6 linked regions of the Coturnix japonica genome follow. The protein of the gene in region 5 interacts with the protein of the main gene of each other region in a biochemical or structural test. Links are inferred from orthologs where the notes say so. Each region holds a gene or a part of one and is shown on either strand. Other genes may lie near its edges.

Region 1 (4,041 bases), on a different chromosome or scaffold from region 5:
TGATCAACTAAACCTAGATGGAAGTGCACTCATGGATCTCACGTTTATTAGCAAGGACTCAGTGCCTGCAAGTATTTCAGAACTTCCATATCTATTAATAAACCCGTGGCAGAGGAGAACTGCTATCTGCTGACAAGACAGCCTTGATAATACAACAGCAAAGCTATGATTATACAAGCATTCATTTGAGTTTCCACTGTAGATCTGTTGACACTCCAATTTGAAACATCTGAAGCTCATCAGGTACATAAAAAATAGACCATTTCAAGTACTTATAGCCAGATAAAAACCTTTGAAAGCTTCTGAATCTGCAGTGAAAGTACTGAAATTTTTCATCAACAGCGTATGGTTTGTTATGACTGTATTGTTGGAAACTGCACCATCAACTACATCTATGAACACCCACACGTAAGAACCATGCTTAGGCCTTGCTTTCCTTAATCCACTTGCTTTAATGTAAGGTAGATCTTAACTCTTCCACTGTGCAATGACATTTAGATTGTATTCAGCGCTATGGTAGCCCTGTTGCCTAATAAGACTTTCTTGTAGGACAGGTATAAAAAGCATAACTCAAAGTGTTACAACAGCTGTCAGCAGCCTTCCTCATGACAAGAACACTTCATCAGGGCTCCCTTGCTTATATTACATGAGATTTGTCACCTCCAACAGAAATACTACATGGAGGGTAATGCAACAATCACATTAAATAAAGCACAAATTACTGCTTAGGCATCATATCTACAAAAACGTATGTACATATGTTCCTGTCTCTGCAAGTGCTAGTACGGCAAGTATGTAGGGCATATCCATGCCCTGAATGCTAAAACTCAGAATGATAAGTTCCAGTTACACCAATTACACGCTGTGCAACTCCACATTTCCTACAAGCAAAGGCGAATATAGCCCTTGCTAATAGTCTTTCCAAGGGTGCTGTGAGGATTAAGGGTTTGCACAGTGTTTTACTCATTCAAAGTGTTATGTGTAAGGCATTATATGTACTACTCACTTTCAGGAGCCATCACAGAACAACTTTTCATGCTGGCTAAATTCCTACCAACTTTATTTTCTTCTTTGGGTGAGGAAAGCAATTTCTGCTGAAAAAACGTGGTTTGATCCCTGCCCATCAGTAAGTGATGCACAAACATCAACACATTATCAAATGATTAAAATACTTTTCGTTCCCAAACATCATAAAATACTCTCATTTCACAACAGTTAAACTTATAAAGTGAAGAGGAAATACTAAACAGTAAAAAAAACCCAAAAACCCATAATGACTGCAATATACAAAGAAGATTAAGGCTATCTTCTGGAAGGCACTAGGAGAGCTTCCAGTGTCTGCAATGGTGAAAGCTGAAGGTACCCTGATGCTATCCAAATACATCACAAACTGCTCTGGTGTTCTACTGAAATACCAAAGACTTTGTTTCCTGAGCTTTCCCAGGCCATGTGAGCCCAGTATAGTGATTATGACTAAACCAATGTCTAGCATGTCACTCAGCGTGAGACAGTGCTTGTAATACCCATGAAAGCTACTACAAATAGCTAAATTTACTTCCACAAGAGTATCTTAAGGAAAAGAAAGAATATATATATATATATATATATATATATATGTATATATAATTACTGAGAGACAATAATCAACAGATAGAAGCACTGTTTCAGCAGTCTTGGATATCTCTTTGACCCTGACCACAAACTAGCCTGAATAAATTCAGCATGTATCTGTGTAATGCAGAGGAGAGAAATCCAACAGGAATATTTTGTGTGTTTCTGAGATTTGAACACCCCTGCAGTAGATATATGTGCTTTAGTAAAGGACTCAAACTTTACCAGCTACAAGAAATCCAGGAGGCAAAACAGCAGGTATGAAATTCCGCACTGTACCACAGTTACAACTTCAAAGAACTTCAGAGAGTCACTTCACTGTGAAACTTTGTACAGAAGAGGGAGATATACTATGGTACAAGGTAACCCAGTGCCACTTCCTGGGTAACAGTGACAAGTCACAGATGAAGTGTTACAGATCTACAAGTGCAACATAGTCAGCCTATGTTAAAAATAAGAAGATGTGCGTCAACTGTTGGAGTTGTAACTTCAGGAAATCATTGGTACCGATGTGATGAACATACATGCAACGATGCAGTTAGGTGGCAAGAGGAGAATGCAGAAACACTCAGAGATCTGAAAGGAACAATGAAATTAACAGTTTCCCCTCGTGACAGTGCTTGACAACTCTCCATACTAAAACGGGTGGTGGTGTAGGAATTTTGAAGCCCAGAACGAACTGGGCTAAAATAAAAGCCCACATTGCAGCCCCTCGCTCTCGTGTCCTCAATAAGCGAGGAACCTGGCACCTGCACACCTTTCCCTGCCCGGTGCCAAAGGCTCTGGCTCCCAGAGGGGCATACAGGTACGCACCGGGAGACCCGCAGCGCCGCGACCCCTTCTGAACACGGAACGCGGCTCGGACAGGCGGCCCTGGAGCGGGCGGCCCTGAGGCAGGCGCCGCTTCGCGAGGCCGCGCCGGGAGAGGCCGGACTGCCACTCACCTCTTCCACTTCGATTTCTTTGTAGTCGATTTCTTCGAAGTTGAGGACGGGGGGGGTTTCAATCATTTCAGCGGAGGCGGCAGCGGACATCCCTCCTCTTTCACCTCGGGGAGGAGAGGCCAGGGCAGGCCGGGGGCCGCGCTCGGTGGGCCGGGCCGGCTCTAGTCGGGGCGCGGCGGCGGCTCCTGCCCTCCTGCAGGGCGCAGGTCGGCGAGGGCCTGGCCGAGGCGCCGCCGCGCAGGGCGAGGCCGCATCCGCGGCGGCCGCGGGCCTCAGTGGCGGCGGGCGGGGGCCCCGCCGGCGGCGCCGCCGCTCTGCATCCCGCGCCCTCCCGCACCGCGCCGCGCTACACCGGCCGCCCTAGGCCGCGGCCTCTCCGGAGCCTGGGAGCCGCCTCGGCCGCAAGTCCCCGGCGGAGGGAAGGGGGCGCCCCTGGGGCCGAAGCCGGCCGCCTCCGCCCGCCCCGGAGGCAGCAGCGGGCGAGGGGCCGCGGCGGGGGTGGGGGAGCCGCTTAGAGCCGCGCCGCGGCGGCCGCTGCTGACATCAGAGCCGCTTCCTGCCGCCCCGGCCTGGGGACGCGGGGGAGGGAGCGCAGGGGGAGGGGGCGGGAAGAGGAAACGCGCCGGCAGCCGCTGCTACTCAGGCGGCCGCGGAGGGGCCATGGCCTGGCGGCGGCACCGCCGCTCCGCCCCCCGCCCCGCCGCCCGGCTCCGCCAGGGGGAGCTCTGCCGGCCCCGCTTCCTCTGCCTACAGCGCTGGCGCCGCGAGGGGCGGGCACGGGTGGCGTGTCCCTGCCCCGGTTCCTATCCCGGTGTCGGCAGGAAGAAGTGCGGGGTGTTTCGGGCCGCGGCTCTGAAGGCAGGAGCACAGTGCAGCACTGAGCTGTACAGCAGCACTTTCTCACGAAAGTATGTGTGTAGGAGGGAGGCGGAGGAGCAGAAGGTAATTTACTGGTGTAAACACATAGCAGACAAGGGATAGGACTGGGGAATGAACACACACCTCCACCACTCCCTTTCCTGTCCACAGGAAATCCAAGCCTGTCCTCCCAGCAGCGAGTGCCTGCTTGCACTGCTGGCTTGAGCAACGCATCTGTATCTTGGTGATCCATCTCCCAAGTGTAGCGTTTAGAGCTACCTACAGTGTGAAACATACGGTGGGACGAAGTGAGTATGACTCATGTGTCTCACTGTGCATAGCCCCAGCGGAGTGCATTCAGTCTCCATGCTATGTAGAAAAGTTATGCCACTGTAAAATACTGTTAATAGCATGTAATTTTAGTAGATTAATTTTAGTGAGCATTCATGGCTTTCTTGCTGAAATGTTTGTACCTCACAGTGATGTCAAGTAAATGAGGTAGGAAGCTGATTTACAGAATAAGTCTGGAAAAGCTGCTTAAGCAGTTAACTAGGAAATAGAAGACCAAGGAGGAACATGTGCAGTAACCTACCATCGTGATGACTCAGATGATATTAGAAAAAGTGGA
Region 2 (3,500 bases), on a different chromosome or scaffold from region 5:
TGTCCCAAAGCTGAAATCGCTTAAGGGCAAGCTGCTGCACCACAGTAGAAAGCAAGGAGAGGGATGCTAACATCTATCTTAATGGCATCTGCCAGTAGATATATCTGTATACCCATGCTATACTTACAGTTAGCAATAATTCCATTAACACACGGACTGCAGTTCTTACACTGGAAGAAATCAGCCTGGCCAAACTGATATTGATTCTTCCGACAGCCACACACGGTATCCTGCTTTAGGGTGCATGGGGTCACTTCTATCTGCCGCAATTCTGAGGAAAGGAATGAAAAGTGACTGAACCAACTCTACCTTCAGCTGAGACCACTGTTATGACAACAGTTGTTATTAGCCCCTAATCTACACACTTTTTTTTCCCAGACCCTCAGCTACTACTACCACCAGTTTTCCCCAGGGCCCACAGATAACTCACCTGTACGGCACCGTGTACACCGGAAGCATTTTTCCATGATGTTGTCAACAGCTGTGAATGTGCCATTAGGACAGGGAAGACAGACAGGGGCCAGATCAGGCCGTTCACAGTCTTTTGACTTGTAGGTACCTGCAACAAAAACAGCTTAAGAGAGATCTGACAGGAAGATACATGTGTTGTCTTGGGGAGGATTGAAGTCACTGAATCCTCAAAGAAACCCTGGAATCTACAGGGAAAGGACTGAGCATATATCTTCTCACCAGCATAGAGGAGACTGACAGTCCAGGAAAAGAGACAGGAAGAAAGAATTCCCTGTCAAGGAAACGGAGCACTGACGTCACTATAGAACAAGATAGAATGAGAGCACGGGACAAGGGAATGCAACTGAGGTGAAAAGTAATGCACTTATTCTACTGAACTGTACCTGCATGGCACCTCATGCAGCAGTGGGTCCCTTTGGGATGTCGGTATTGTCCAAGCTGACACTGCACCTGCCTCTTTTCTCTCCTTAAGAGGTTAAAGGGATCTCTTCCATCCAAAGTTACCCGACGGAGTCGCAGCATATATGGCACTGGAGCAATTCCTACTGATTCCTCCATCAGCACACAGACAAATGTTAAGATAACCTGCAAACAGCAAACAGGGAAAGGGAGAAAAAGAAAGAAAAATGTTAGAGAATCTCTCATCTCCTGGCAGACTGCACAGCTGACTTCAGCAGTGCTCAGTATTAGAGGGAGCCATGCCTGTCATATCTATTAATACAAGCTAGCTGTACACAGAGCAAATATTTTTGGTGATGTACAACATATAGATGGAACGCCTTGAAGATGCTGCAGCTTGCAAGAAAATTAACCAAGAGCAAAGGAATGTTTTCATTAAGGAAAAGAATAAGTCAATCTAGAAACAGTTCCAGAGAGAAGAATGCATCCAGTACCTGCAGGACAACTGAATAAGAAAACCAGATGGCAAGTCTGGAATAAAAAGGCACAGGATGATATCACAGTAGGGTATTCAATTCTAATTTAATTAGAATTACTTTAGCTATAGATTATTATGTTATTGATATTATTTATTTTAACAATATAAATGACTGCCTTGACTGCAGTATGATGTGTGCATGTATGCACTGGAAGGAAGAGCAGAACAAAGGGTTAACGAACAGCTTGAATTGCAAATGGACACCGTTCCCAGCAGCAGAATTGAGAAATGTTCTGTTTGTGTCATGGCCAAAAGGTCTGCATCCTGCTAGGACCACAGAACAGATGAGTCATCAGCCAAAGACCCTGCGCATGAGAATGTGGGCAGACTCAGCACAACACATGAACAAGTCCTCAGACTGCAGGTCCAAGAGAAAAAATAGACCCTGTATTCAGACAATCAAAAATTAAACAACATCAACATGAAAAGGAATACCATCTCTCCTGCCCATAGAACTGCACACTGAGCTTTGTTATACTAACTTCTCTACATTGCGTTGCAGTGTGTTCCCAGCTTTCATTTTTGCAGTCAATAAGGTACCTTGCTGCCCAACTACACAGATCTCTTTTTGCCTTTTTTTTTTTTACTTTTGGCTACGAGGGCTGTAGCAAAAGAAGAGCAAACCAGTAAGGGTAAACCACAACGCTGATACCAGCTTTGTGGTTGCAATCTTCAGAGAGGATATGCAAAATGAAATGGCTATGACAGCCCCACGCTACCCTGTTTCTGTCCCAAAATTAAAGCTTTGGAGGAGAAAGTTAACACGTTTAAAACCTTAAGAAGGATAGGGCTTGGCGACTCTAACAAAGCAATAACTCATTTTTTTCCCCCAAGGATTTCAGAGCTCTTTGTCACACATCAGACATACTGAAGACACCAGCTGCTAAAATAGTAACAAGTTTAAAAATAAAAGAATTTTTAAAATCACATATTTAAATAGCTGTCATTTCAGGCTTGATTAGCTGACCGCAGGATAAATGCAAACATTCCAAAATTAAGTAAGAAATAACATTTGTTCCAGCAGCCTCACAAGATTGACTGTCTGTGGGGAAACGGGTAAAAGATCGTTCACACAGATGGTCTGATAGGAGCAATAAAAAACTGGCCCTTCAGCCAATGATGCATCTTCCAGCAAGGGAATATATACAGCTAGTCCAAAAGTCAAACAAGCCAGTAATATAAACAACAAAGGGAAGCATCAAAGATCGTGCCAAAAACAGATGCAAGATTAGTCACATACATCTCCAGAAAGGAAAACAGGAAAGGTGTTTGCAATCATTCAGATTAAGTGAAAGCACATCAGTAAGTGTAACCAAACCAGAATTAGTACATTCGTTATTACTGATCAAAATCTGAGGATCAGAGTGTGTCAGACCACAGATGACTCACAACCAATGATTCAGCCCTTTAAAAGTAAAAAAACAACCCACCACCATCTTAAGCAACTCCCAGACCACTGAGCAGTTACACTTGTTTACACCCACAATAAAGAGTTCAGGAAATACATGAAATTATCAAGCAAGGAAGCCTCAAATCTAGGCGGCAGGTTGAGTTTACAGGTCCTCTACAACTGAAACGAGTGGTTTTCCGCTGCTGGACATTCAACTCTCTGCTCTAATCTCACTTGCCAGGAGAACAAACAAGTGCCCAAAAATCAGCATTGCTCAGAAAAATGGACAGCCTGGATTACCGAACCGAATGATAACTCAAACCACCAAACCACACTGTGCACATCGGTGATTCATGGTTTTAGCTAGCGGGTGCTGCCCAGGAAAAACGAGTCAGTAGAAACTCAAGGCTTCAATTCTGAAACTGACGCAGAAATCAACGTAATAACCGCAGGTGAAAACATGCACAACTTCCTCAAGCCGTTCTGCTCCTCCAGGTGACAGCCACGCATGCACGCTCTTCACCTGGGAAGCAATCCTAGCTCCTTCCCATGCCTTCCAAGCAACTTATTGGCTGACAGCTCCAGTTGATACAACAGTGAATCACACAAATTAGCAGCTCTAGGAGTTGGGAAGAGAATAAGAGTGAGGAGACTCCAAAGAAATCAGGGTGCAGCATCACCGTTCTTGTGTGATTGCTTCAG
Region 3 (3,500 bases), on a different chromosome or scaffold from region 5:
GCACCCAGGTTTGTCTGTCCAGCGTGCTCTGCCATCAGGCAACACGCACAGATAAACACAGCACCAAAACCAGGAGGGAGCAGCTCTGTGTTTCAATGGGAATGTGCAGCTGGAATGGAGCAAGGCTGGGCTGGAAACACTGCCCAGAAACAGCAACAGCAGCCAGACACCCACGGGGACAGCAGGCGGCTTCCCAGCACACCCACGAGTACAGGGCTGGGGCACCCGATAGTTAATGAGATGGGAGGGAGGAGATCCGTGTCACTGTGCTGCACCATCCCTTCCTCACCCTCCATCAGCTTCATGAAGATGGTCACCCAAGGTCCCTCCTTCACAGCACCATACAACGGCACAACTTTAGGGCTCGTTATCACCGCGCACGTCGTTAACTCCTCTGCACGGAAGTGTTCGACCTGCACCTGGAGGAACAGAGGAACGGATCTGGTGACGCCCGTCATGTTTTTCTGTGTGCTGTAGCTACGTTTGTTTCTATCCAGCTGAAAAACAGAACGCTTAAAGGAAGCCTGGATGAGCCTCATCTGCTGCCTCCATGAGACAGCCACTGCACTGCAACCAATGCAACGAGTGAAGGCTTTCAGATGGATTTTCACACATAACTCATCTGGATTCAATATAAACTCCCCCAAAACACACACACACACACACACACACACACACACACACACACACACAAATACTCTTTCCAGTTGTCTCCGGCAGCCATTTGAGGAACAGTTGCACAGAGGTGATGGAACCACGCCAGCGTTACGTGCAAACAAAGCACTTTGGATTCTCGTCGTCACCGTGCTATGACCACACCTACAGCCTGCATGGCGACGGGACGCCTTCCCTTTATAGAGCCTGGTCTCCTACATCACATCACCCCCCTCCTCACACATAATTACCTTTTTGGCAGCGCATTGGAATCCCGTCTGCTTGTCCTCTACTTTGTACACTTCTCCAAAGGAGCCGATGCCCAGAGAGCCGTGGCACTTGGTCCAGTGAACCTCTTCTCGGTACTCGTAATCCACCGGCTTCAGTTTCTAGGGGAGGAGAACCACAAAACAAGATGAAGCAAGCAGAGAAACTTTAGCTGCTGTCGGTGGAGCTGAACAGCTCCCAACAAACAGTACAACATCACTGCTCTAAAAATCCACCAACTCAGTTTCTTCTGTCGCTGCCTTGAGGTGAAACAAAATAGGCCCAATGCTCAGAAATGCTTCCCCCAGACAAGCAAACGTATGGACAAATGAGAGTCTCCAAGCTAAGCCGGGGCTTTATATCCTCCAAAGAACAATGTCACATCTCTGCCTGAAAGTGTTCAACCGTATCGATATCCCCTTGGAAAAGGCAGCCTTGTGACAGAAGGATACGGCTTCTCTCTTTGGAAGCCCAAGAGAAGCTCTGCCTACCACGACAGGACTGTGTAGGATGGGAAGATCACCTCAGTGAGCAGCACGCCTTCATTCTCATCTGCCTTTTGAAGCTGTTCCTTCAGGTCCAGACCGCCTCCCCTCCACGTCTTGGCAAGGCTGGCCAAGTTCTGCGGCTCCCCGAGGCTCACGCTGCCCTTCAAGGCGTCCACCAAGTATTCTTCCACAGAAACCTTGTCCAAGCTGCTCTTCATGGACTGGCTGACGCACTTGGGGAAGCTGAATCCCAAGTTCAGGCCAGACAAGCGATGCTCACTGTCTGGGTAATTGAGATCGTGATGGAAATATGTCTCCAGAGCATTAAGCTTCATGGGATGGATAGGACTGTCCAGATGTGGGAATGGAGGGGGCAGGATGTTGTATGGAAAAGGACGGACAGTTTCAGGCTGAGGGACGTTGTCCCTCTGGTAGTGCAGCTTCCAGACATGATTAAGGCACTGGACAGGGCTTATCAGCTTGTGCAGGTCAGTTTTGTGCTGGCTGCCCACTGAATTGAGTTTGCCTGCGGACAGAACTTTCTCGGGTTTCTGAAACGGGGGTGGATCGTAAAGCCAGTTCTTGTTCAGTTCTGATAACCAAAAGCTGTTTCTGTAGAGAGCACTGTGGTGTGTTTCATCCTCCTAGGAAACATAAGAGAACAGTGGGAGCCTCAGGACAGTGCCCAGACACAACCAGGAGGGCTCAGTGCTTTGTAGGGGTCCTGGCAACACAACACGAGCACCCACAAGGTCTCACCTGTACGGGAATGGGAGTGCAGCTCTCCTGTTCTGGAGTTCTGGGGCCCCGTCTGCCAGCAGCCACTGTTTGTATTTTCAGCTTGGATCGTTTCTTGTGACGCTTCTTCCTCGCCTTACCACGATGCCTCCCCCTCCAGCAGGTGGGAGCCATCCTCCCCTCCGTCGCGTGGGCCACATTGTTTGGGATCTGATCGAGGCTGTCTGAGCGGCTGTTGGAAACCAAGACGTGTGAGAGCTCTTAGATGGGATGGGGAAAGCACAACCTCAGCTTACAGCTACAAACGGGGACAAGAAGACTGAGCCTTGAGCTGCTTCTATTCACAGCCCTTTTGCTGATGCTGTTATTAAGCAGAGGTTCTCTTCCCCTTTTGTTTATCCACCCCTGAAAAGCAGCAGGTCTGCTCAGTGATTTCAGACAAAGCTGAGCTCCCAGATGGAGCAGCAGAGCAGGCAGCACTGACAGGGAGACAGCACAGAGAGCACAGATCTATCGACCTGGATGGGGCAACACACAGCAGTGCAGCATTTGTATTCTGGGATCTCTCACCTGTAACGTTTGCTGTGGGCAATGAAGGATCTCTCTGACAACGTGGGGCTGAACTCCTGGCTGTTCTCACCTATGTGAAAGAAAACAAGATCACTGCACATCTTCAGCACGATGGTAAGAAGGAGGAGGGGAACCCCCCCCTCCCAATGTACTAACCCACATGGAGACCCAGCAGAGCCACAGCACTGCACCGCCACCTCCTGATCCCCTGCTGTCCCCCACCTGACCCCCTCTCAGCATTTCTACCATTATTAGTATTGTAGAACGCTCCTCAGCAGCAGCCAAGAGCACAGGCAGGACTCTGTGATGCATTTCCTGCCATCACAGCGCAGCAGCCATGCACTGCTCTGTTACTCCGTGCCATTCAATAATGCTGCCACATTATTAAGAGGTTTCATGCGCTGCCTAAATAGAGCCCAGGATGTGTCAGCAGCTCCACCCCACGTGGGATTACAAATAGATCCCAGCTGGGCTCCCCAGGAGAGTGAAACCGCACACCGCCTCGCGCGGCCCTTCTCAATGAACAGCAGCGCTCCCTGCTACTCACACTCTGCCTGGGCAATAATGGAGATGGACGCGCAGCCTCCTTCTGTTTCTTCTTTTGCTGTTCCTTTGGTGATGACGTCGTTGAGGATTTTCCACTGGCTGTGGAAGATGGCTTTCTTGGAATCCTCCACTTTGCAAACGCTGCTTTGCTTCTCGCTGGCGGCCTCGTGCAGCCCTTTGGTGGCACTGAGCTCCTGCTGCTGCTTGGTGGGCGGAGCGGGAGCTCCATGGCACACA
Region 4 (4,170 bases), on a different chromosome or scaffold from region 5:
TGCCCTAACTCCAGTACGTCTGCAACTTCTACACTGAAATGGTTACATTTGCTATTTAACCATCACAAAAACAAATGCTGGGAAGACCAAACCCACCCATTAACTATTTTATCTCATTAAGTTCTGTAGGCATCAGCTCAGAGAAATAATACAGTGTGAAGCTACCCTCTGTTACCCACTGTATTATTTATATTTCACTCCTAAGCTCATTCTGTTTATAACCTTGCCCTAACTGCCACCCTGCCCTAACTGCCACCCCTCTGATGGCTGGCAGTACAACCTTACTTCATGGGCTGTAACCCCCAAAAGTTACATAGGGAAGAGGTCATTCACTGCAGTACCAGCCAAACAACAAAGAGCAGGATGTGACTCTTCTCTTGAAAAGAAGCAAACAGGACTTACTTCATCTTCTGTGAACTCTGGCTCTGATTCACTGCTCTCCTCGTCCTCACTTTCGGGCAGTATCTGCAGGTCAGCTGTGGTCAGCAGCTTCAGCTGCTCCTGTATGCTGGAGTTGTCTCGTCCCCATGTAAGCTGGTATGGGGAGTAGCCTTGGTAGGTCACTTTGTTCACATCTGCCCCGTGTTTCACCAGAAGTGACACCAGGTCTGAGTTCTGCAGGTCTACGGCCAAGTGTAGTGCTGTTCTCCCATTGCATGGCTCCTGTTTGGATACAACATGAGGTATTGCATTAGGGGAGTGAGGCTTAGCACTGTCACACCTGTTGATTCTTCCGACTAGACAGCTCACTTAAATTCATAGCATAAATTACATACCTGAGCATTTACATCTGCTCCTAAGGACAGCAGGTACTCAACAACAGCCAGGTATCCTTGAATAGATGCCAAATGGAGACATGTATGTCCTGGAAGATAAAAACAAAGGCAAAATTTGAGTAAGTCTTACCTAATGCCCCATAACTTGTTTAAAGTCAAGATGATAAGACAGAAGAGTATCTAAGTTAGTAAATCAACCGGGGCAAAACCATGTTTTTCAAAACAGCTTTCCAGCTTCCTGATAACAGGGATAACTGGGTTGGATTTTGGATTGGGTTGGATTTCTTAGGGGATCTATTCTAGGTTTTAACTGTGCCTTACTGTAACAACTTTACCCTCTAAAAAAAAAAAAAAAAAACAACCCACAAAAACATAACTGCTATGAGTACTGCAGAAGCACTCACTAAAAATACTAAATTTAAGGCCCATGAGAGCCAATGACCATGAGCGAGGAGGCCCGCAAGGCTGAACCCACAACATCTTAAGGAAGTCAGATGCTTCTTTGCTTTGGGCCCTCCTCAGCACTCCAATGGGAAGAAGATACTTCTCTTGAGATCTCTGCTAGGGCAGAGCACACGTACCATTGTAATTGGTGGCCTGCAGGACGGCGAGGAGGTGGTGGGGCTGGCAGTGCTGTGTGAGGACGCTGACACAGCGGAGCGAGCCCTGCTGGCAGGCAATGTGGAGCGGGGTGTTCCCACGGAAGTCCCTGACATCCAGGTCACAGCCAGCCTTCAGCAGGTGCTCGGCGATCTCAGGCTGGTCAGTGATCACCGCCAGGTGGAGAGGAGTCTGCAGGCAGGAGGGAACACACGGCTTTGAGTTATGTGACAAGTTTAGCAAAGGTTCAAATACACAAACCCTGCAGTGGCTATTGAGGACTTCTGCCCAAATGCAAGTACTGCAAGTCAGTTCTTAGCGCTTCCTGGCACAGCACACTGCTGCTCTGTAGTCTGGTAGCTATGGTATGGTATGGTAGACTTGGGGCTCTCCAGATATCACATATTCTATCCATATGGAAGGGCATCATTAACATCCCAATGGAGAGGAATGCGATCCATTGCATCGCGTATGAAAAACGCGAGAGGCTGCAGCAGGACAAAGCGCTGCACCCCCACCGCATGGAGTGAGCCAGGTGCTTTCCCCAACGTGGGCTCCGACTTCACATCCATTCAATTACACAGAAACTTCTCCTCGGGAATTCCCCGCGGGCCTTTTGCGGGGGCGGCCCGGCCCGGGGGCGCAGCGTACCTGGCTGAGGTTGTTCTGGAAGTTCAGGAAGGCGCCGTCGCCACCGGCCTGTCGGATCACCTCCAAGCTCAGGGACTTCTCTTCGTGAATGATCGCCAAGTGGAGGAAACTGCACCGAGGAAAAAAGGAAGCGCCCCACGTGAGACCCAAATCCCCCCAGCGGGACGCGGCTGACGCGGCCCCCGGCTCACGGCCGCAGTCATGTGCGGGTTTCGAAAGCCGGGGCTTTCCGCACCGCGGAGCCGCCTCTTCCTGGCTCCGCTCCAGGGACTTTCCGCGCTCCGCTCCGCTCCCCGCCCGGCGCCTCCCCGCCGCCGTCGCGCCCCGGCCCGGCCTCCCGCGGCCCCGACTTACGTGTCGCCGTCCTCGGTGAGCTGCTGGGCCCAGGCGTGCGGCCGGGCGGGCGGCTCGCGGGGCTGCAGGCGGATGTCCTCCAGCTCCCGCACCAGCTGCCTGTACTCCTCCTCCTTCATGGAATCCAGCCCGCTGTCGTGGCGGTCGTCGGGAGGCATCGGCCCGCCCTGCCGCTCCTTGCGGGGCGGCTCGCAGCCCTCCACGGCGGGCGGCTCTGCGGGGCGGTGGGCGCTGAGCATGGCGGCGGGGCTGGAGGGGCGGCGCGGCGCCGCGGCTGCTGCTGCTGGTGGCGGCGTTCCGACACGGACGGGCATCCGCGAGTGAGCGGCGGCGGCGGCGGCGGCGGCGGCGCCTATACAGCCCGGCGAGGGGATTTCTGCGGGGGAGGAGCCGCCGCCGCGGGAATTTCCAGCCACTCGGGCGAGCCCGGTCCTGCTCGGCGCCAGGGGCGGGCCGGGGAGGAACGGGGCCGGCCCAAAGCAGCGCGGCCCGGCCCAGCCCGGCGGAATTCCCTGCCGTGCCTGCGGGGGGGAGGGGGAAGTACTCGCCGTCCCGCTGAGTAACGCGGTGCCTGCGGTACTTCCCTGCGGCGCCCGGCCCGCTGCCCTGCACCGCGGCCCGCCCGGGGCTTCCCCGCCCGGATCGGGGAGAGGGCCTCCCCGAGGAGGCATTAACCAGCGCTCGTCTGACCTGCGTCGGACCGGGGGCATATTTCGGCCGGCTGGTGGCGAAGTGACGCGGTAAAGCCAGTCACTGTCCAGACGGGTGGATGCAGAGGCTCCCGTCGGTACGCTGAGTCCACCCTGCTACACGTGTTCTGTCCTCGTGCCCGTGCTGTCCCAGCAGCACCCACACCTGTCCTATGGGGCTGCCTGTCCTGCACCAGTCCTGGGGGAGGGAAGCAACACACTTCCCTGCAGGGCTGCAGAGAGGAGCTTGTCTGCGCTGACCCCATGTCCCAAAGCCTTGAGGGTGTCACAATGATAATATATATATATATATATGTTTAGAGAGATTCATACAGTCTTGTGCTTGACTTGTGTTAAACTGTCATACTGGCTGCAGGCCTGCAGGTATGGCATCAGCCTTCGTAACAACTCACCTCTCTGCTGTGGAAGATTTTAATCTGTCTCAGTGGCATGGGATGGAATAGGCAGGAAAGTCCTGTTCCACTCTTTGCACACAGTTCTTGCCACGGACTCTACAGAACCCTTCAGAACGTTTGTGCAGATTAAAAAAACAAAACAAAAACCAATCAAACAAAAAACCCCCTTTTCCCCCTTAAAAAGTGTTATATCCTGTCAGCATCCTTATTCCATGTCCATTTTAATTTTTTCCTCTCTGCTTTGTACTGGTGCCCTCCCATCTGCTTGCAATGAAAGCTGGCTGAATGCAGCCTCTCATAAGGATTAAAGTCAGTGTGGGTTTAGTGATGCCGAACTTTTCCCTGGTGAATTTCTCTGCTGCTACTCAGATGTGGGGGATTCCCATTAAGAATTTTTCTTCTCTTGCAGCAATTGCTGGCCTGGCTGACTAACTGCCCGAGATGTGCTCCAGCCACTTTCCCGTGGGATGATGTCTCTCTGCAAGAGGCCCTGGGAGAAAACCCAGAGATGAAAGAGGGAGGAAGATCAGAGAGGGCACGTGGGTTCCCAAAAACAGCTGGTCCTGGTTTCCAGCCCAGCCATACCATTCCTGGCCTTTTTCTCATTATTCATCTCAAGGTCTGGGACAGCCACCGGTGATTTTGGGCAGGTTTAGGAAAGCCAGGCAACTTTTTCTTTTATAG
Region 5 (3,500 bases):
ATCTTGTCTAGGTAGAATTTCCTAGTTTTGGGGTTGCAGTGGCTCTGTGTGAAAATTTGGGAAATTCTCATGAATCTGAAAAATTTTGGGAGGCGAAATGGGTGGAGCACCACTTTATGAACAGAGCAGAACAAGATGTTTGGCTTTTGGATCCTGATTTAAGACTGTTGAAGAAATGGGCAAAGAAAAGCTCAGTATAGCCGTTCCTTCAGTGAAGACATGCATTTTATTTCTGCCAGCTGTTACAGTTCTTTTTCAGCCTTTAGTTGGGAATGGGTACAGAAAATGACTTGAAGAGAGGGGAATGTACTGTAACTGTTAAAGATGTCACTGCCAAGAGAACAAATTTGTGTCTGGATGTGTTTGACACTTTTTCCTCTTGCACTTGGAACTTTATTTTTCAGTCAGTGATCTTGTCCTTTGTACAAGATTCAGCTCAAACACCATGCTTGTACCACATAGAAGTGAAACTTTTGCAAGCTCATACTATGTACTTCCACATTCTTAGCAAGTGGCTCTTTGTGTCTCAGCCTCTGCTCTCAGGTACCTTCATGAGAACAGGATCATCCATAGAGACTTGAAACCAGAGAACATTGTGCTGCAGCAAGGAGAGCAAAGGGTAAGCAGTAATGTGGTGTCTGCCTACACAGACAAGTAAATGTAAGTGGAGAAGGTGCATGTGCTTGCTGCAGTTACAGTGGCGAACATGCAGAAGCAGTCAGCCTAGGGTAACAGCTCTCTCAGATCTGTGTGTCATTCAGCACCCTTCCTGTGTGTCTTTGAAGAGCTGAACTGTTTTTGTCTGTTGTACGTGTGCAGCAAAACTTGCCTCTAGTGTTCTTCTTTTGTTTTGTTTTTCAGTTAATACACAAAATCATTGACCTGGGATATGCTAAGGAGTTGGATCAGGGTAGCCTATGCACATCCTTTGTTGGGACACTGCAGTACTTGGTAAGGAAGGTATTCAGCTAGATGGGCATCTCCCACTTTGCTGTGGGACAAAGTTAATAGTGCAATTCAAGTTTGGACTGGGATGAAGTAATCATCTTGGTAGGGGGTGCGTTTGGGGTGCTGCAGCTGACAAAGATAACGTCTGCCCCGTTTCCCCCCTCTTTTGCCTTCCACCCCGATGGATTATCATAGTGTCTATGATAACACAGTGTATTGTATTTATGAGAAGCAGGAGTATTCTGTGAGATCTCAAAGCTCGTGAGAGGCAGTGTTTCAGCACAGCCATTAATGTGATACAAATGTTATTGAGCTCTTGAGGGACAGAGAGAACTGAGAGATGGATGGCTTTGACTTCTGCGTGTGTAAACTGTCTCAGGCTCCAGAGCTGCTGGAACAGCAGAAGTATACGGTTACAGTGGATTACTGGAGCTTTGGCACACTGGCTTTTGAATGCATTACAGGCTTCAGACCATTCCTACCCAACTGGCAGCCAGTACAATGGTGAGTGACCTTGGGCCAGGTGATAAAAAGAATGCATGCGGTGCCATTGTCCTGTCCATGGGAAGTAGAGGTGTGGTCCCTTGATTCTTTAGGGTAATATCCCTGTATTCCATACCCTTATGGAGATTGACTTCTTTTACTGGAGTTTGATCTGCTTGAGCAAGTTGAGCATTCCTTAGATTTCTCTTGGGAATCGGGACTGGCTTCTGCAGGGCAGGTAGCAGAAACTAAAGCAATGTCTTTGTTTTAACTGTAAAAGTTTGCTAACGTGTGTGCTGGGAAGGGCAAGTGATAACTTCACTGTTGTACTTGCTTGGAATTCATTAGGCACACGAAAGTGCGACAGAAGAGTGAGCTGGATATTGTTGTTTCAGAAGACTTATCTGGAGAAGTCAAATTTTCTAGCAGTTTACCCCGCCCAAACAATCTAAACAGGTGAGGACTAGAAATCTGTCGTGATCTGTTGTGACGTACTGAAATGAACTTCCTACTCAGAATGGACCACGTTTTATTTTATATGCTTTTCTGTAAATAAGTTGAGTGCTTGGCACAAACAGTGCTTGTGCACCTTATCAGATGTGTAGGTGTGTCTCCATTTCTCCTTCTAAAGAGCACATTTACACTTGGGAAAAGAAAATTGGTTCAGTTTTTCTGCAGAGACTTGTCCATGTCGTGATTATAGATGCACTTTCTTTTCTGATCCGTTCTTGCTTTGGTCCTTCAGTGTTTTGGCTGGGAAACTGGAGAAATGGCTGCAACTCATGTTAATGTGGCACCCACGGCAGAGAGGTACTGATCCTGTCTATGGGCCCAATGGGTGTTTCAAAGCTTTGGATGACATCTTGAATTTGAAGGTGAGCAATGCACCTGGGTTACTTTCCCAGCAAGCAGTTGAACCTAGTCCATGAGACAGAAGCCTTGAGTCATCAGCCTAGGAGGTGGAGCAGCACAGAATCTTACTTAGCAATGTGCTTTTCTCATGCTTCTGGGAGTAGCAAGTAGCTTCTGTATGTTCTTGATCCTGCATTCTGGCAAAGAACTCTGCTGAAAAAGCTGTTTAATTGGCACGTGAGCTCTTTTCCAGCTGATGAAAGATGAGGTCTTGAGCATATAATGTTATGAAGTAGCTGCAAAGTGACTTTTTGAACTTTGCATGTGCTTTGAAGCAGTTTATTGGTGGTCAGTGTCTCAGTCCAGAGATTTCTGCTCAAACATAACCGTTTGTTTTCAGCTGTTCTCATGTCATGCTGATCTCCTTTTAGTTACTGCATGTTTTGAACATGGTGACGGGAACTGTGCACACCTACCCTGTGACAGAGGAAGAGACCCTGCAAACAGTGAAGGCCAGGATCCAGGCAGATACAGGAATCCCAGAGCAGGATCAGGAGCTACTGCAGGAGGCTGGTCTTGCATTGTTTACTCAGAAGCATGCAGCTGATAGCAAAGTGAGTCTGGATATTCCCCTTCCTTGGCTGTTCTGCAAATTTGCAAGTGCAGCTCTTGGGACTACAGCACTCCCTGCTGTTCTGGTCATGTTCTTTCTTGGAGAAGAAGAGCATTTTGTTTGTGGTGTTACTGGTGTTTGCTGTTTTTGAGAGATCACTGTTGTGTCTTCTGTCTTTTGCAGGTGAATGATGCTGCAGCTGCAGACACAGACCTCCTCTTCCTCTTTGATAATCAGAAAGTTGCCTATGAGGCTCAGGTTGCCTTGCGACCTCATCCGGAAAGTGTTGACTATATCCGTAAGGACTTTCTCTAGTACAAATGTTCATGTTGAGAGGGCTGTCTGTATTCTGTAGTCTGTATCGTGGGCAAAGAGCAGAGAGAGATTTTGTATATTGGCACTAGAGAAGCAATAAAAGAGCCTGGCGTGGCATTTATTCAGCTTTTAAAAATAACTGAAGGAAGGAAGGGGAAGCTGCAAAGATGGTAGCCAGCTCTAAAGTTTGTAAGAGGTGGGGTCTTGGCTGCATGCCTTTCAAGGGAGTGATGTTTTAGTCTGTTTTGTCATGTGATAATGCTACTTTTAAGCTTCATACTGATTTCCC
Region 6 (3,500 bases), on a different chromosome or scaffold from region 5:
TGGGGTTACTCAGTGCAAATTAAGCACGGCGCAGGCAGTCAGGTCAGGGTCACCAACTATATTTCTCAGCTTACAAAAGGTTCATCAGCGGTGCTGAATGACTAATAGCAAATAAATAACATTAGCGATAACTTCGCCATTATGCTGGTTAAAGTAATCGAGTCTATAAAGAGAAACATGACTTCGGTTCCACTGAAGGCTGACATATTGAAAAAGCCTTGAAAATATGTTTCTGGGAAGACCAGGGGAAAAGAACTTCTGCCCTCACCTCGAGCAAAAGGCAGCCTGCCAAGGGGATGTTCTCCTGTTCAACAGCTAAATGCAATGCAGTTCGTCCAGATTTTTGTTCCTGAGCATTGACGTTAACTCCAGCAGCAAGCAGCAGTTTCAGACAGGACAAGCTATTGGCGATCACCACCATGTGAATTGCACTGAGACCTGCACAGAACCATTTGTGTACATTAACACTTGAACAACACAGAAATGTCACAGTGATGACTTCTTAAGCAGCTACAAAATGACTGAGTGTTACTGTATTTATCTGAGCACCTTTGCCTGTCTAAGCACCAAAAATGGTGTTAATTAAAATGTTCTTTGTGCACAAAGTTGGAATTATTTGTGTTACTGATGGGGACTAGAAACCATGCATAAAAAAAACAATCAGCTAATAGCAGGGCTGGAACAGAAGGGAAGAAGGAAGAGCTCACCTTAGAATGTTGTTGAAACATCCTGGAGAGTGACTAATGCTCGTTAAGGTCAGACAGCCCTGGCACCTCAACATTAACTGCAGCGGCTCAAAAAGAGAATCATAAAGCTTTCTATTTATAAATAAGAAGAAGAATAGACCCTCTCTGAGGAACTTAACACAGGTTTTTAATTCACATAATGACATTTTTAGGTCAGGTATTTTACTATCTACACCTAGTGCAAGAGTACTATATTCAAATGACCCGTGCCATTAAATAGTGGGAGAGTTGGGTCTCCATGGGTATTTTATAAGCTTTAAGACTCTGTGGTCCCAAAGTTCCAGAGGTGATACTTGACACAGGTCCAGAAATGCCTTTTGAGGGGATTTCATTCACTAGAGAGGAGGAAATATTTTCAGGTGGAATTTCTTTAACAGTGGTTCTGTAGGGCAGCTCAAGAGGAACGTAGCTCTTGAAATTCTGTGATATTGAAGAAGAAAAAGTTCCAATTCACACTGCAATACGGACATTGTCAACCTCTGTGTTCTGTCTAACCACAAAGCCTGCGCGTCTTTGTTCTCTTAGCTGACTGCAGGTGTGTAAAAGCCAAGGATATAATGCGCAAACCATGGAAAGATGCGACTTCCAAAGTCTGTATCTATGTAGAAAGGCTGGGCTGTCAGAAATGGTGCGGTGCTTGTCTAGGCAGTAAGTAAATGTGAAGTACAGGCACTATTGTTCCATACCTTCACCATTGGAAAGGTCGATCATTGAAGATGCCTTCTTATGCTTGAGGAGCAGACCCAGAATCTTGTCATCTCCTTCAGCAGCAGCTAAATGTAAGACAGAGTTACCGTGGCGATCCAAAAGGTTGACATTTGCTCCAGCCTTCAGCAAGTCTTCTACCACCTCTGCCTGCTTTGTGATTACTGCCAGGTGCAAGGGGGTCTGCAAGGGACAGAAGTGAGCCATGAGAAGATGAGCGGCAACTACACGCCTTTACAGAAATCGGCTGAGCCAATAAAAGCACCTCCTGTGGGGTGCTGCTCCACTTTTAATGCTGGCGCAGGTGAAAAACTTCTGTACATTTTCTTCTGCTGTATAATACAGATAGGGTTTCTACTTAGTGGAAATAAAAGCCACCTCACTGGTGTCAGCAGTCAGACCTGAGGAGGAAGGCAGACATTGCCTGCTCTGTGCACTGGGGGACTAACCTGGCTGTTTGTCATGCAAGGGACTTGGGAAATGAGAATCCCTGTACTCCCAGAGGCAGTAATAACCCTGTTTACAGCTGCCCCCTGCCAAGCTCCTGCCACAGAAGGAGCGCACACACTTTATAGAGCCTGTTCAGCTCCGCCTCCGCAACTGAACCATACTCTAATTTTGCTCCTAAAAGTTCCCAGCCACAGGTTTAGGATCTCCTTATCCTTCAAAACAGCTACATACAAAAAGCAGAAAAAACTCGCAGTTCTGTTTGTCAAAGCTCAGAGTGCACAACGTCATCGAGCTGATACTGTTTGCCTGGTTCCCATCTCTGCACAGACACCCGCAGCACTGAGGCTCTCAGGCTGAGATTTCAGGCTTTTCCAAAGGTTAACTGTATTCTGCATCCTCGTCAGTAAGAAGCTTCACCAATCACAAAGTATACACTGAACAGTGAGGCACTGCAGTGCTTTGGGAAATCCTATTCCTCACAATAAAACAATCTGAAAAACACAGAAGATTCTATCTCCATATCATTATTTTTATATTTACAGATGACTGTAAAAAAGGAACTAATTTCAGCTCTATACAATAAGCTTGTGTTTGTCAGTGGAAACGCCAATGTATTTGCAATTAATTACTTGAATTTATACAACAAAGCATGATTCATCTTTCAGAGTATCTGTGCAGAAGAAAACCTTAGACTCAACCTGCATTTCCTCCCATCACTGGCTTAAGGTTAAAGTGGAAGGTAGAACAGCTGGAGAAGTCTGGTAGTTTGAGATTTATTTCTTGTATGGGGCACAGTTTTACTTCCTGTTTCTGTTAAACAGAGGGCACAGAAATTCAATTCAGAATCTTCTTGCTTTCATCACCTTCCACATTTCGAACTTCCTTTATGCGAACACAAAAACGAAACATGAAAGAGAAGAAAGAAGTCGCAATAAAGCCTCTGAGATTATCTGCACAGAATGAAGCCTTGGCTTTACCGTTTACAGCTTGGTGCTGAACAGAAAGAAATGGCACCAATCTCACAAGTGCTCTGTGTGCCATCCAGCTGGGTGCCTTTAGGACAACGGAATGGTGCGCATGGCTGAAAAGAGCTCCTTGTACTGGCAAGTTTTCACAGCTCTTTTTAAAGCCCATCTAAGTTGCAGCAGAAGAAGCTCAGTCTGTGTTACAGATAAGGAGATAATTGTGCTGGGCTGCTGACAGTTACTTCCCTGCTGGGTAAAAGACGTGCTTTTTTGTGTGCTTTAAATGTTACACTGTGAGCCAAGAAACAAAAGAGAAACCTTGGTGCTCATACAGCGGGCACAAGGACCTTCTAGGCTACAGAAAGACACAGCTGCTACAAGCTTCTTCAGCAACTCAATCATGACCCTGAGTTGTCCTGCATTACAAAGTTTGAAAGATCCCAAAGTCGCCACATCTCTGGTTTAATAATAGAGGAGCCACATAATGAAAATACAAACTGAAGAATTCAGTAGGATTTGGGGCTGTTCTATGATAAACAAATGGAGACATTTCTCTTAACACCAAGGCAGTTAGGAATTAACAGAGGAAAAAGCACACCCTTGTTCTTCCACCTCCTTACAGCATGTCACCGCG

What was found.
Region 1: of the proteins of IKBKB (region 5) and MAP3K7, one has a biochemical effect on the other in vitro, tested with the Homo sapiens proteins (5 studies listed by BioGRID). The link is inferred for Coturnix japonica from reciprocal best matches to the Homo sapiens genes IKBKB and MAP3K7.
Region 2: of the proteins of IKBKB (region 5) and TNFRSF1A, one has a biochemical effect on the other in vitro, tested with the Homo sapiens proteins (2 studies listed by BioGRID, with this or other methods). The link is inferred for Coturnix japonica from reciprocal best matches to the Homo sapiens genes IKBKB and TNFRSF1A.
Region 3: of the proteins of IKBKB (region 5) and MAP3K14, one has a biochemical effect on the other in vitro, tested with the Homo sapiens proteins (3 studies listed by BioGRID and IntAct, with this or other methods). The link is inferred for Coturnix japonica from reciprocal best matches to the Homo sapiens genes IKBKB and MAP3K14.
Region 4: of the proteins of IKBKB (region 5) and NFKBIA, one has a biochemical effect on the other in vitro, tested with the Homo sapiens proteins (58 studies listed by BioGRID and IntAct, with this or other methods). The link is inferred for Coturnix japonica from reciprocal best matches to the Homo sapiens genes IKBKB and NFKBIA.
Region 6: of the proteins of IKBKB (region 5) and NFKB1, one has a biochemical effect on the other in vitro, tested with the Homo sapiens proteins (4 studies listed by BioGRID and IntAct). The link is inferred for Coturnix japonica from reciprocal best matches to the Homo sapiens genes IKBKB and NFKB1.

What each region holds. Positions count from the first base shown.
Region 1 is NC_029518.1:68,395,939-68,399,979, reverse strand, and holds the start of MAP3K7 (mitogen-activated protein kinase kinase kinase 7), read right to left. Parts: upstream 2,801-4,041; 5' UTR 2,646-2,800; coding exon 2,556-2,645; intron 1-2,555. UniProt on the Homo sapiens protein: Serine/threonine kinase which acts as an essential component of the MAP kinase signal transduction pathway. Plays an important role in the cascades of cellular responses evoked by changes in the environment.
Region 2 is NC_029516.1:71,182,997-71,186,496, reverse strand, and holds part of TNFRSF1A (tumor necrosis factor receptor superfamily member 1A), read right to left. Parts: intron 1,057-3,500; coding exon 855-1,056; intron 560-854; coding exon 431-559; intron 272-430; coding exon 128-271; intron 1-127.
Region 3 is NC_029542.1:888,616-892,115, forward strand, and holds part of MAP3K14 (mitogen-activated protein kinase kinase kinase 14), read right to left. Parts: coding exon 3,265-3,500; intron 2,788-3,264; coding exon 2,718-2,787; intron 2,380-2,717; coding exon 2,169-2,379; intron 2,054-2,168; coding exon 1,445-2,053; intron 1,044-1,444; coding exon 906-1,043; intron 420-905; coding exon 290-419; intron 1-289.
Region 4 is NC_029520.1:32,789,818-32,793,987, forward strand, and holds the start of NFKBIA (NF-kappa-B inhibitor alpha), read right to left. Parts: upstream 2,801-4,170; 5' UTR 2,696-2,800; coding exon 2,382-2,695; intron 2,137-2,381; coding exon 2,028-2,136; intron 1,569-2,027; coding exon 1,358-1,568; intron 866-1,357; coding exon 777-865; intron 664-776; coding exon 403-663; intron 1-402. UniProt on the Homo sapiens protein: Inhibits the activity of dimeric NF-kappa-B/REL complexes by trapping REL (RELA/p65 and NFKB1/p50) dimers in the cytoplasm by masking their nuclear localization signals.
Region 5 is NC_029537.1:4,090,047-4,093,546, forward strand, and holds part of IKBKB (inhibitor of nuclear factor kappa-B kinase subunit beta), read left to right. Parts: intron 1-530; coding exon 531-619; intron 620-861; coding exon 862-951; intron 952-1,327; coding exon 1,328-1,452; intron 1,453-1,779; coding exon 1,780-1,887; intron 1,888-2,176; coding exon 2,177-2,306; intron 2,307-2,714; coding exon 2,715-2,897; intron 2,898-3,079; coding exon 3,080-3,194; intron 3,195-3,500.
Region 6 is NC_029519.1:54,747,493-54,750,992, reverse strand, and holds part of NFKB1 (nuclear factor NF-kappa-B p105 subunit), read right to left. Parts: intron 1,635-3,500; coding exon 1,433-1,634; intron 439-1,432; coding exon 269-438; intron 1-268.